Saccharomyces cerevisiae S288C: one gene and its partners. Changing the gene in region 2 together with the main gene of any one other region gives a genetic interaction. Each region holds a gene or a part of one and is shown on either strand. Other genes may lie near its edges.

Region 1 (3,759 bases), on a different chromosome or scaffold from region 2:
TCAGCCTCAAGGACTTCATCTGGCCCTAATGGACGAGACATATGGGGTAAGTAAAGCTCCTGGATCTTTTCTTTGTTGCCTTCGGATTGGTCCTTTTGTACTAAAGTTTCAGCTTCTTCTTGCTTTTTCCTAAGGTCATCTTCGTCATTAATCTCATCATCGCCATCAATTTCAATAATTTCACCATCACTATCAAATTCATCACTCAATTGTTCTTCTAGGTCATTCTTGGGAGCATCTTGCTCTTCAGAGGCGGGAATAGCAGGAACAGAGTGAGATTCTGTTTTAGCAGAGACCACTCTATCTTGTTCCTCGTTGACCTCGATAGACCTTTTCGACATTATGGTGCTATTTCCGTGTATATGAAAACGGAGAGTAGGTGATATAACTATTTACCTACAAATTCAAACAACTACAATCCCTATAAGAAATGATCATCTCATCGCTAAATTCAGTTGGATTTTATTTTCTGTATTTTTCGCTGAAAGGAAAAAAATTTTCACGGCTCGAACGAAAAAAGAAACGTGATCACGATGTAAGTACAAATGGTACTCTATTTTGAAGCGTCTACGTTATGTAGATGATATCATACTTCCAGTTGCATATCGTCAGTAACCTCATCTTTAGACTGTTTGTTCTTCTTCTTTTGGTTTTTTTTCGCTACTTTCCTTAGCTTTTCTTCTTCAATAAGATTTGATCTATTCGACTCAATATAGTTTACAAAAAAATCACCATTTTTGGTCTTCTTTGCTTCGTTAAGTGTAGCTTCCACATTATTAAATAGTTCTACCCTTGTCTTGGCCAGTCTGTTTAGTATTTTGTTATCTCGTGCTCCGCATTCCATTTTTCTACATTGTCTTAGAGACTTAAATGATACTTCACCGGGATTCATATACCTGTTTTTTCTCAAGTTATGCCATGGTGTTATCAAGATGGTGCATTGTGGCATTTTGTTTCCTTGAATGGATTCTGATTTACATAGCTGCAGACAGTCACATATCACTTCTTGCGGTATGTCATCGATTGTTTTTTCATTTGGGCGTAACTTTAAATAAACATGACCACTTGAGTACTTATCCGCGTGAAACCAAACATAGTTTAACTCCCTATAGCTCCATTTGATAAGTAGATCGTTTTCAAACTTATCTTTGCCCATCACAATTTGGTAAGGTGTTGAATACTCAGTTGGTTTTGATTCATAGAAATACACCATTGTTATTGAAAAGTTGAATTTCAATTGAGCCTTATAATTCTATTCGCTTACTTTCTAAATTTTAAGTATAAGGCAGTCCTCTGGTCTACAGAGTTGTTTTGTTTTTTTATCCAAGTTCTTTGTTTCAATCTTATTGTAGTTTTTTTCCATTAAAATATTAAAGCCTAGGATAATCTATATCCTAAACTAAATATAAATTAAGAGTATAAAAGATGAAAGTAAATAGCATCTAGCATTCAGAAAAAATAAGAAGTCTCTTTTCAAATGATTGATCGAGCACAACGAATGTTTTCAAACCACTGTTAATTTTTTTATAGATGTAATGACTACTTATATGTTCTACGATGTGATTTTGTAGGAATAAAATAAAATTCAGTTTACCGTCTGCATATTCATAAACACTTAAATGACTGTTAAAGTATTCAGTATTTTAAATAATAATAACATAAATTATTAATACATACTTAAATACGAAGCCCATTTTGGTGGGTTCCTGAAAGAATATCAACTTTTTTTTACTAATAGAGAATTTCGTTACAAGGTGGGCGGCTAACTTATAAAAAGCAAAGGAGAAGGTTTTAACATATCGTCAAGTTAAGTTTGAAAGAGAGAACTAAAATAAAAAAAAAGAGAAAAATGTACGAGTACTGCTCAGTTGTAATAAAGAAATACTCCAAGTATACAATTCCCTCCTTCGCTCCAAATGGTTTTCAATCAATGCTTGAGCCTCCTCAGATAGACAAGTGGCAACACCTTTCCGCTAACTGCACTCTCCAATTTCGGGTTCTTCTAATGGACTCTAGACAAATTCTGATCAATGTGGTTCTCAATAATTCAACACTTCTCGAAAATATTCGCCTGCCGCTGGGGGATAATCAAGATTTAATACAATTTTCATGTAAAAGCCCCATAATCTCTTGTAAATATATCTCCGAAGAATTCGGACCCAGAATGTTAAGGAGGTTTCAGATGAATTTGCCAAATGACGTTGAGTTCAACAGGACTGTAGTTTCTTTAAAGAACCTTAATTTTGTTTTAAGGACAGCTAGGACATCAATAGCCCAGAGTACAATAACAAGCCAGGTGCAAGGCAATAATAACGGTACAAAGGTCTGTTTCACAGAAGGTCCAAAAGTTAGTAGCTACACAAATCCGAACACGCAATTTCAAACTCAAAACATGATTATGGATTTCAGTCAACGTTATCAGGAAGAATCTGAAAGAGAGTCAAATAATCGTTCAAATATAACTTTACCACACGACAGCATTCAAATAGCTCAACAAATATGGCCAAACACGGATTTAAATGTAGTACAATCTTCACAAGACCTCAACACTCCAATGGCTACGCAAACTGTTTTGGGTCGTCCTGAGTCGCTAATTGTACAGCCATTGGAGGTTTCTCAATCTCCACCAAACACTACCAACTGCCTTCCTAATGCAGAAAACAAAAAGAAAAAAGTCGACACCACTTCTGATTTTACTTCAAGAAAGGAGATTGCTCTGTGTAAAACTGGTTTATTAGAAACTATTCATATACCAAAGGAAAGGGAAAGTCAGATGCAAAGCGTCACTGGTTTAGATGCAACACCAACGATTATATGGAGCCCCGGGAAAGACAACACGGCGAAGAAAAATACCAGTAATAAGAAAAATATTGATGATAAACTAACAAACCCCCAAAAATCTGGAAATACACATACCCCTGATAGAAATAAAGAAGTGCTACCTAACGGCACACTTAATGAAACGAGGAAAGAAGCATCGCCAAGCGAAGGATTAACGATAAGAGTTAAAAACGTTAATCGGAATGCGTCAAGAAAAATATCTAAGCGGCTAATCAAGGAAAAGTTGAAAGACGAAGAATTCATGAAATGGGTATGTATGCATTTGCAAGAAACTGAGCTGTTTCCCCCTCTTATCCACTCATTTTCTCTGACTTGACAAAGAAATACTAACTAACAACTTTTGCCACTACAAATATGAATGAAAAGGTTAATAAGGTTGAAACGGTTCTCAATAAAATGTTCGAAAAGTGAACCCTTTTTTTGCAATTCCTTTTTACACTAGCCACGAAGTAAAATGGAAAAGTAAACCCGAGTTTCGGCAATATCGCTAAGCAAGAAGAGCAAGCTCGTTTAAGTAAGCCTTTATGAAAAAAAAACAAAATATAAAGCATTATAAAAATTGAATCACATCGCAAATCTGCAATATACTTGGAAGTGTTTATAGCAAAGTGTGGTATAGAAAAAGAACCAAAGGCCGGTATGTCGTTAAAGGATAGGTATCTAAATCTCGAATTAAAATTAATAAATAAACTACAGGAGTTGCCATATGTTCATCAATTTATCCATGATCGAATAAGTGGTAGGATAACTCTCTTTTTGATAGTGGTTGGTACGCTTGCATTTTTTAACGAACTGTATATAACGATCGAAATGAGTCTTCTACAAAAGAACACATCAGAAGAACTAGAGCGTGGAAGAATCGATGAAAGTCTGAAGCTTCATCGGATGTTGGTGAGTGATGAATATCACGGTAAAGAA
Region 2 (3,080 bases):
TCAAGAGGAATCTTCATAAAAAATATGCTACTAAAAAGCTCTGAAGAAATGTGTAATTGAAAGCTTTTATCCCTAAATTTCAATGCATTGGCATATAATTTTAGATTACTTCCATTCTGCGGACTAAACTCCCGCAGGACAGGTTGTAAATGGCCTAAAATTTGCAAGTCTGATGGAAAAAGGAAAAATGGTCTTGGATGGATCCTCAAAAGAGCGTCTTGTAACGGAATATTAAAGTGGAATATAATATAAGCTGTTAATAATAATGACGTTTCTGTATATCCGTCTTCGCAATACATGAACGTCAATAATTCTTGAACTTGGGATACTTGAAATATTAAATAACAAACATTCAAAAGAATTTCCACAGACTGAATGTTTAAGTTCCCCAAACCTATACTACCTGAGGCAGGGAAAGTCAAATGCAAATGCTCTTGTGATTTTGACGCATCATCGTCTAATAAAAGATCTAGATATGTTCGGATTTTCGTTAACGACGGCATTTGCGAGTTTGACGTACATTTTATGATCAATTTCCACACCTCTTTTGTATTCGGTATGTTATACAGTTGAGAAATGGAGGTTGTCGGATTGTCCGTATCATAATTTAGAGACTTTAAATTTACTATGCTTGTATTCTCTTCGAAACGGTGGGTCAGAGATATATTGTTTTTTTTAATTATTTGATAATTATGCCAATCAGTGGTGTTACCGCAAATCAACCCTGTTTCCTCCAATCGTGTAGCTGAAGTCAGCTTATTCAACTCTAACTTCTCGCACAAAACCATATTCTTATCAACGTTATTGAAACACACTATTTCACTAGGTGACGAACATAAATTCAAGGGAGTATTATTCTTGAAAAATTCGTTGTCTAATAAAGGTGTACCAATCAAAGTTTGAGGTATATCTGTATTGAAATTCTGATAAGTGCAAATAAAAAGATTCGTCTTGTAAAGCGATCCTCCACTCCCTACATAACCCTTTTGAACAAACATTAAACAGATCTGTAAAAGTAGTGCAAGGGTTGTACAATTGGGGCAATTTCCCTCGTGTGAGCACGCTGGCGCTGATTCTGTTTGCATATCAGTGCTGCCACCAGTCCGCGAACAATAAATTACTATATTATCAACCATTTCTATCATCTTGGCACATTGCAGGTCGAACCTTCGGAATAGACCTCTCCTTCCCCAGACGTCCTGCCCACTCCGTTTTAGCGTGGTATTAGACCCAACCTTGTTTCTAGAATACCTTTTAAGTTCTAATGATAGTCCACGAGGATCTACTTTCAGAAATGGTAAAATGCTATGATTGTGACAATAAGTAGCAGCGTTTTCCAAAGCAACATCATCCACTTGCAATTCCAATTGTCGTATCTGAAACTTTAGCAAGTTCAAAAGTTCCTTTGTGTTATTGGGATATTGAAAACCATTAGAATCATTTCCAGTTTCACAGGTATCGCCCTCTCTATGAAAGGAAGTGCGAACTTTCCAGGACTGGAAGATATCATTCACTTCGAGAGAATTACGCAAAAGCGCAGAATTGTTAGCATCTGATTGCGATTTGACTATTGCAAGAGAATGAGGAAAATCGGGTGGTTGACCAAAGGAAATATCATGAGCCCAGGGGAACATTTTTTTACATTCAGGCCATTCTGCATCCTGATGTAGTCGCATAAGATCATGCAGTTCACCAGGTGTGATTGAGGGCACTTCCAAAACCATGGTTGTTGCTCTAGTTTTCTATACCCGCCCCTTCTACCTCAATGACAATCTCTCTTTTATGGTTGGTGTTTCTTTTCACTTTTTTACTTCTTCTTGTACTTTTCTTTTTGAACCTTAAAAACTCTTGCAATTATGTTTCCATGATGCTTTTGAAGTAATAATTTATTTTTATTACGCGAAATTAATGGCCTTAACAACTGCCTGCCCCAACAGATAAAAACAAGCAAGGGTCAACCGTGTTGCAAAAAAAATGTCCAACTTAGTTAAAGAAAAAGCACCTGTCTTTCCTATATCTAAAGTAAAGAAGATTGCCAAATGCGACCCCGAATACGTAATTACATCTAATGTAGCTATATCAGCGACCGCATTCGCTGCTGAGTTATTTGTACAGAATCTCGTCGAAGAATCGCTGGTCTTAGCACAACTGAATTCGAAAGGAAAGACAAGCCTACGATTAAGCCTAAATTCTATAGAAGAATGTGTCGAAAAAAGAGATAATTTCAGGTTTCTAGAGGATGCCATTAAACAACTGAAGAAGAATAGCGCACTCGACAAGAAGAGAGAACTAAACATGCAACCGGGTCGGAGCGATCAAGAGGTTGTTATAGAAGAGCCTGAATTGCATGAGGATGATGGTGTAGAGGAAGAAGAAGAAGAAGACGAGGTATCCGAAGAAGAAGAGCCCGTACACAATGAAGAACTTCTTGATGATAGTAAAGATCAACAAAATGATAAATCCACGCGCAGTGTGGCAAGCTTGCTGTCGAGATTCCAGTATAAATCCGCACTAGACGTAGGAGAACACTCCGACTCTTCTGATATCGAAGTTGACCATACGAAAAGCACCGATCCTTAGTGTTGTTGCTATTATTGCTATGTAATTACTATTCGATGCAATATGTTATACATATACATACACGCAATGAGAACCCTAACCTTGAACTTACTATTTTAAAAGGACATCTCGAAAAAGCTTAGGGATAATTAATATTTTGTAGGTTAGAGCTGTTATGTAGGGAAGAAAAACAAGGGCTTTAAAATAATAATCACATTACACGAATAACTTAATTTGTCTTTCTGAAATGGAAAAAGAAAAAAATGACGACTGTAACATTGGATGAATTAATACTGTCATTATTGATACGTTGTTAATTATAGACAGAAATGTATTCAGTACAATAGAACAGTGCTCATAATAGTATAAAGGGTCACAATGTCCAAAAAACAGGAATATATTGCACCAATAAAATACCAAAACAGCTTGCCTGTGCCACAATTACCTCCTAAACTTCTGGTTTACCCCGAGTCTCCGGAGACGAATGCAGACTCCTCCCAACTAATCAATTCACTATACAT
Region 3 (3,961 bases), on a different chromosome or scaffold from region 2:
AACGGCATCATGTACGCTTTGGATGAAAATGGCACCTTCTTCTCAAATATCCGTTGGTTTTTTAAAGTAGACCCATGTATTTTCCTTTTAAACGACATCTTTATAAGATCCCTCTTCTTTGTAATATCGGTTGAGGATAAAATGTCCAACTCTTTTAGTTGCGAATTGGGTACTATATTTAACAGTTTTTTGATCGATTCTTGGAGCATCCCAATGGCAATTCCGCACTCATCATTGTTGTATTGGTTGATTGATAGGAAGAGATAGGTCAAACTCTGTAAATAATTCATAAATAATGCGTCCACTATACGGCCTCCTTGGCATTGCGAAGCAGTGCTATAAGATCCAATACAAAGCTTAGCGTAAAAGACACTGGACTTGCCTAGCTCTTCCAATTCTTGAGGCTCAAGGTCCGCAACAGCATCCTTGCTGATTTTTGATCTTAGTTTAGACAGTGCTAAAACGACAATCCCTAGTTGTTGCAGCAATTGAAACTCTAATGATAGCTGATTAAGGACGTTGAGAACCTGCATCTTTTGGCAATCATTAGCTGTGTTTATTTGAAAATTCTTTCCAAGAAAGCAGATTAAGCCTAGACCTCTCTTTAGATAGGTCCCGCTTGTTGTCCATAAGTTATTTGACGCTTGTGAAGATTCATAAGCTCTGTACAATGTTTCAATACCGATGTCTTGATAAAATACGGCAACATTGATTAACGCAATCGCTATCTCCTCTTCAATGAGAGCGGCGTCATTATTAGCTTCGTACCTGTGGGTTAACAAACCCTCTGTGTATTTTAGCCACGTATCTATACATGTAATGCTGTCAGCTTTGGACGAGGAACTGTTCAGTGAATTTATGCAATTATTTCGCAGTATGATTAAATCATTAGGTATGGAAGTTGTTATTTTGCTGCTGCCAGATAATTTATAGGGAAGTTTCTTTGTAGACATTGCATTCTCACGCATGATTTATTTTGTTAGAGCTACTTTTCACTTTAAAGTTCAACCTTTGAATAACCAGTTCTCGATTATACGTTTTTTCTTACAGCCGGTTTACGTCAGCGCAGGAAAATTGAAAACTATACTATTCAATACATAGAACGTAACACAATGGCGTCCCCTCAAAAGTGTACACTTCTTCAAGATGTTACTGCGGCTACATGCAACACCCCTAGAGCTATTTGTAAGGGAAGACAAGATCTCAAGTGTTACCACAGCCCGTAATTGAGTTCGGCACTATTCGAGCGCACAAAAAATCCCGTACTGTTTTTTTTCAGATAAGAAAGACTGAGCCTATATAAACACTACCTGAACCATTTTTAAGATAAAAGTTATATACGATAGAGTTATCCCCTCTTAATAATTGATCAAGAACCTCTGAAGCACAAAAGGGAGCATAAGAGCACTTAGGGACAAACGTATTTCTTTCCCCCACTCCCCTTTTTCCCTTTGCGATGCACATCCATAACTTGTACTTGTGTCTTGACATTCTTCAAAATCAACATGGCGATGCTCTTCTACGGTTGTCCTTTGCCACGAACTTTGTTTTGCGCCTCCCCTCCCTTTGTCAGGCTGAGTGCAAAAGAAAAGGCCCTGGTTGCTTATCTCTGCGGACACGCGCCCCTCTTATTGGATGAGACATCTCAGAGATTGCGATAACGATAAGATTCACAATTGCTACAGACACCCTTGTGTGACATCTTATGGCTATGTAAGCACAGAAGAGAAGAAGAAAGAAATGACAAAGTATTGATGGAAGATGTTTTTCCTGAAAAAAAAAAAAAAAAAAAATCGGAAAAGTGGTGTAGGCTTCTATAGCACCTTCTGCTTACCAGTCGATAATGCAGTTCCAGAATAAGATACTTAAAAGGTAGTTTATTTATATAGGCGCTCTTGTAACTTGTTTAGGCTTATGATCAGAGAATTATTTTAGTAAACATAACTGCAGTACGGATTCTTATACTGTAGAAACTATGGAGAGTCGAACTACAGGGCCTTTAACGACTGAAACCTACGATGGCCCCACTGTGGCCTTCATGATATTAGGTGCCGCCCTAGTATTTTTTATGGTGCCCGGATTGGGATTCTTGTACTCCGGATTGGCAAGAAGGAAGTCTGCACTAGCACTAATCTGGGTTGTATTAATGGCGACTTTGGTCGGTATACTGCAATGGTATTTCTGGGGTTACTCTCTAGCTTTTTCAAAGTCCGCTCCGAATAATAAATTCATTGGGAATCTAGATTCGTTTGGCTTTAGAAACGTGTACGGAAAAAAATTCGATGAAGATGCCTACCCTGAGCTCGCGTATGCAACCTTCCAAATGATGTTTTCGTGCGTCAACTTAAGTATTATCGCTGGCGCCACTGCCGAAAGAGGCAGGCTGCTACCGCACATGGTTTTTCTCTTTATTCTAGCTACCATTGGATATTGTCCAGTGACGTATTGGATTTGGTCACCAGGTGGTTGGGCATACCAATGGGGAGTCCTCGATTGGGCAGGCGGCGGCAACATTGAAATATTAAGCGCTGTTTCCGGGTTTGTTTACTCTTGGTTTTTGGGCAAAAGAAATGAAAAGTTACTGATAAATTTCAGGCCTCATAATGTTTCATTGGTCACTCTAGGCACATCCATACTGTGGTTTGGCTGGCTGCTATTTAATTCTGCATCCTCATTATCCCCAAATTTGAGGTCAGTTTATGCATTCATGAATACATGTCTCAGTGCCATTACTGGTGGGATGACGTGGTGTCTTCTGGATTACAGATCGGAGAAGAAATGGTCGACAGTTGGTCTGTGCTCCGGTATCATTTCTGGGCTGGTGGCTGCAACGCCAAGCTCAGGCTGTATAACCCTTTACGGTTCACTTATTCAAGGCATTGTGGCGGGGGTAGTGTGTAACTTTGCGACGAAGTTGAAATACTACGCTAAAGTAGATGATGCCATGGACATTCTAGCTGAGCACGGGGTTGCAGGCGTAATAGGACTAATTTTCAATGCCCTTTTTGGAGCAGACTGGGTCATTGGTATGGATGGCACTACAGAGCACGAGGGCGGCTGGGTAACTCACAATTACAAGCAAATGTATAAGCAGATCGCTTACATTGCCGCATCCATTGGGTACACTGCTGCTGTAACTGCAATAATCTGCTTTGTGCTCGGCTACATACCCGGTATGAGGCTAAGAATATCAGAAGAGGCAGAGGAGGCGGGTATGGACGAAGATCAAATTGGCGAATTTGCGTACGATTATGTGGAAGTGAGAAGAGATTACTATCTATGGGGTGTAGACGAAGATTCACAACGCTCTGATGTAAATCACCGGGTGAACAACGCTCATTTGGCCGCTGAACGTAGCAGTAGCGGTACTAATAGTTCCTCGGATGGGAATGGAGAAATGATTCAATCCGAAAAGATCCTACCAATTCATCAAGAAGATCCTGCCAATAGGTAAACGGTTTATTGATTTTGTTTCCAGCTTGGCTCTCTTGATTTTTTATGAGCACGTGTTATTTATTCCTTATTCAAACCTTCATATATGTATAGATGTGCATTGTTTATACGTTACCTAGCATTTTAATGACCCTCCTATTTAGTTATCTTTTATCACATTCGTTAAAACCTAGAGGAAAAAAAGAAAACTGGAGGATTTCACAAATCTTCCTCCAATGTTGCTCATTTCAAGCAAAAAACGACCCCAGTGAGGGTTGAACTCACGATCTTGCGATTAACAGTCGCACGCCTTAACCAACTTGGCCATGGAGTCTTTTTGACTATGTTCTCGAGAAAATATAGGCTCTCTTAGTCCTCAACATTTTAATTATTTGAGTACACCAACCGGTAATCGTGAAATAGTTAACACTCTAGATCCAAAAAATACGTATTTAGGTATAATGGGATGTAAGACCGTTTTTATGAGGGTGCCTTATTTAAATTAAAATTATTATTGCTCGGGCCTTTA

The links. Genes that interact genetically often act in the same process or in processes that back each other up.
Region 1: mutations in DPB3 (region 2) and REC114 together harm fitness more than expected from each alone (negative genetic interaction), as found in Saccharomyces cerevisiae (2 studies listed by BioGRID).
Region 3: mutations in DPB3 (region 2) and MEP1 together harm fitness more than expected from each alone (negative genetic interaction), as found in Saccharomyces cerevisiae (2 studies listed by BioGRID).

Annotation. Positions count from the first base shown.
Region 1 is NC_001145.3:534,358-538,116, forward strand, and holds REC114 (Rec114p), read left to right. Parts: upstream 1-1,849; coding exon 1,850-3,091; intron 3,092-3,207; coding exon 3,208-3,252; downstream 3,253-3,759. Other genes in the region: ribosome biosynthesis protein RRB1, read right to left, coding at 1-341; JLP2 (Jlp2p), read right to left, coding at 587-1,213; ERG29 (Erg29p), read left to right, coding at 3,481-3,759. UniProt on the Saccharomyces cerevisiae protein: Required for the production of double-strand breaks (DSBs) in meiotic recombination initiation; not required for mitosis. Plays a role in activation of the DSB nuclease SPO11 at recombination hotspots.
Region 2 is NC_001134.8:758,320-761,399, forward strand, and holds DPB3 (DNA polymerase epsilon noncatalytic subunit), read left to right. Parts: upstream 1-1,974; coding exon 1,975-2,580; downstream 2,581-3,080. Other genes in the region: tyrosine/serine/threonine protein phosphatase PPS1, read right to left, coding at 1-1,724; PAF1 (Paf1p), read left to right, coding at 2,938-3,080. UniProt on the Saccharomyces cerevisiae protein: As accessory component of the DNA polymerase epsilon (DNA polymerase II) participates in chromosomal DNA replication.
Region 3 is NC_001139.9:730,942-734,902, reverse strand, and holds MEP1 (ammonium permease MEP1), read left to right. Parts: upstream 1-1,975; coding exon 1,976-3,454; downstream 3,455-3,961. Other genes in the region: YGR122W (uncharacterized protein), read right to left, coding at 1-968; YGR121W-A (uncharacterized protein), read right to left, coding at 1,276-1,491. UniProt on the Saccharomyces cerevisiae protein: Transporter for ammonium (both charged and uncharged NH3 and NH4) to use as a nitrogen source. Can also transport methylamine. The affinity of MEP1 is about twenty times lower than that of MEP2. MEP3 has the lowest affinity.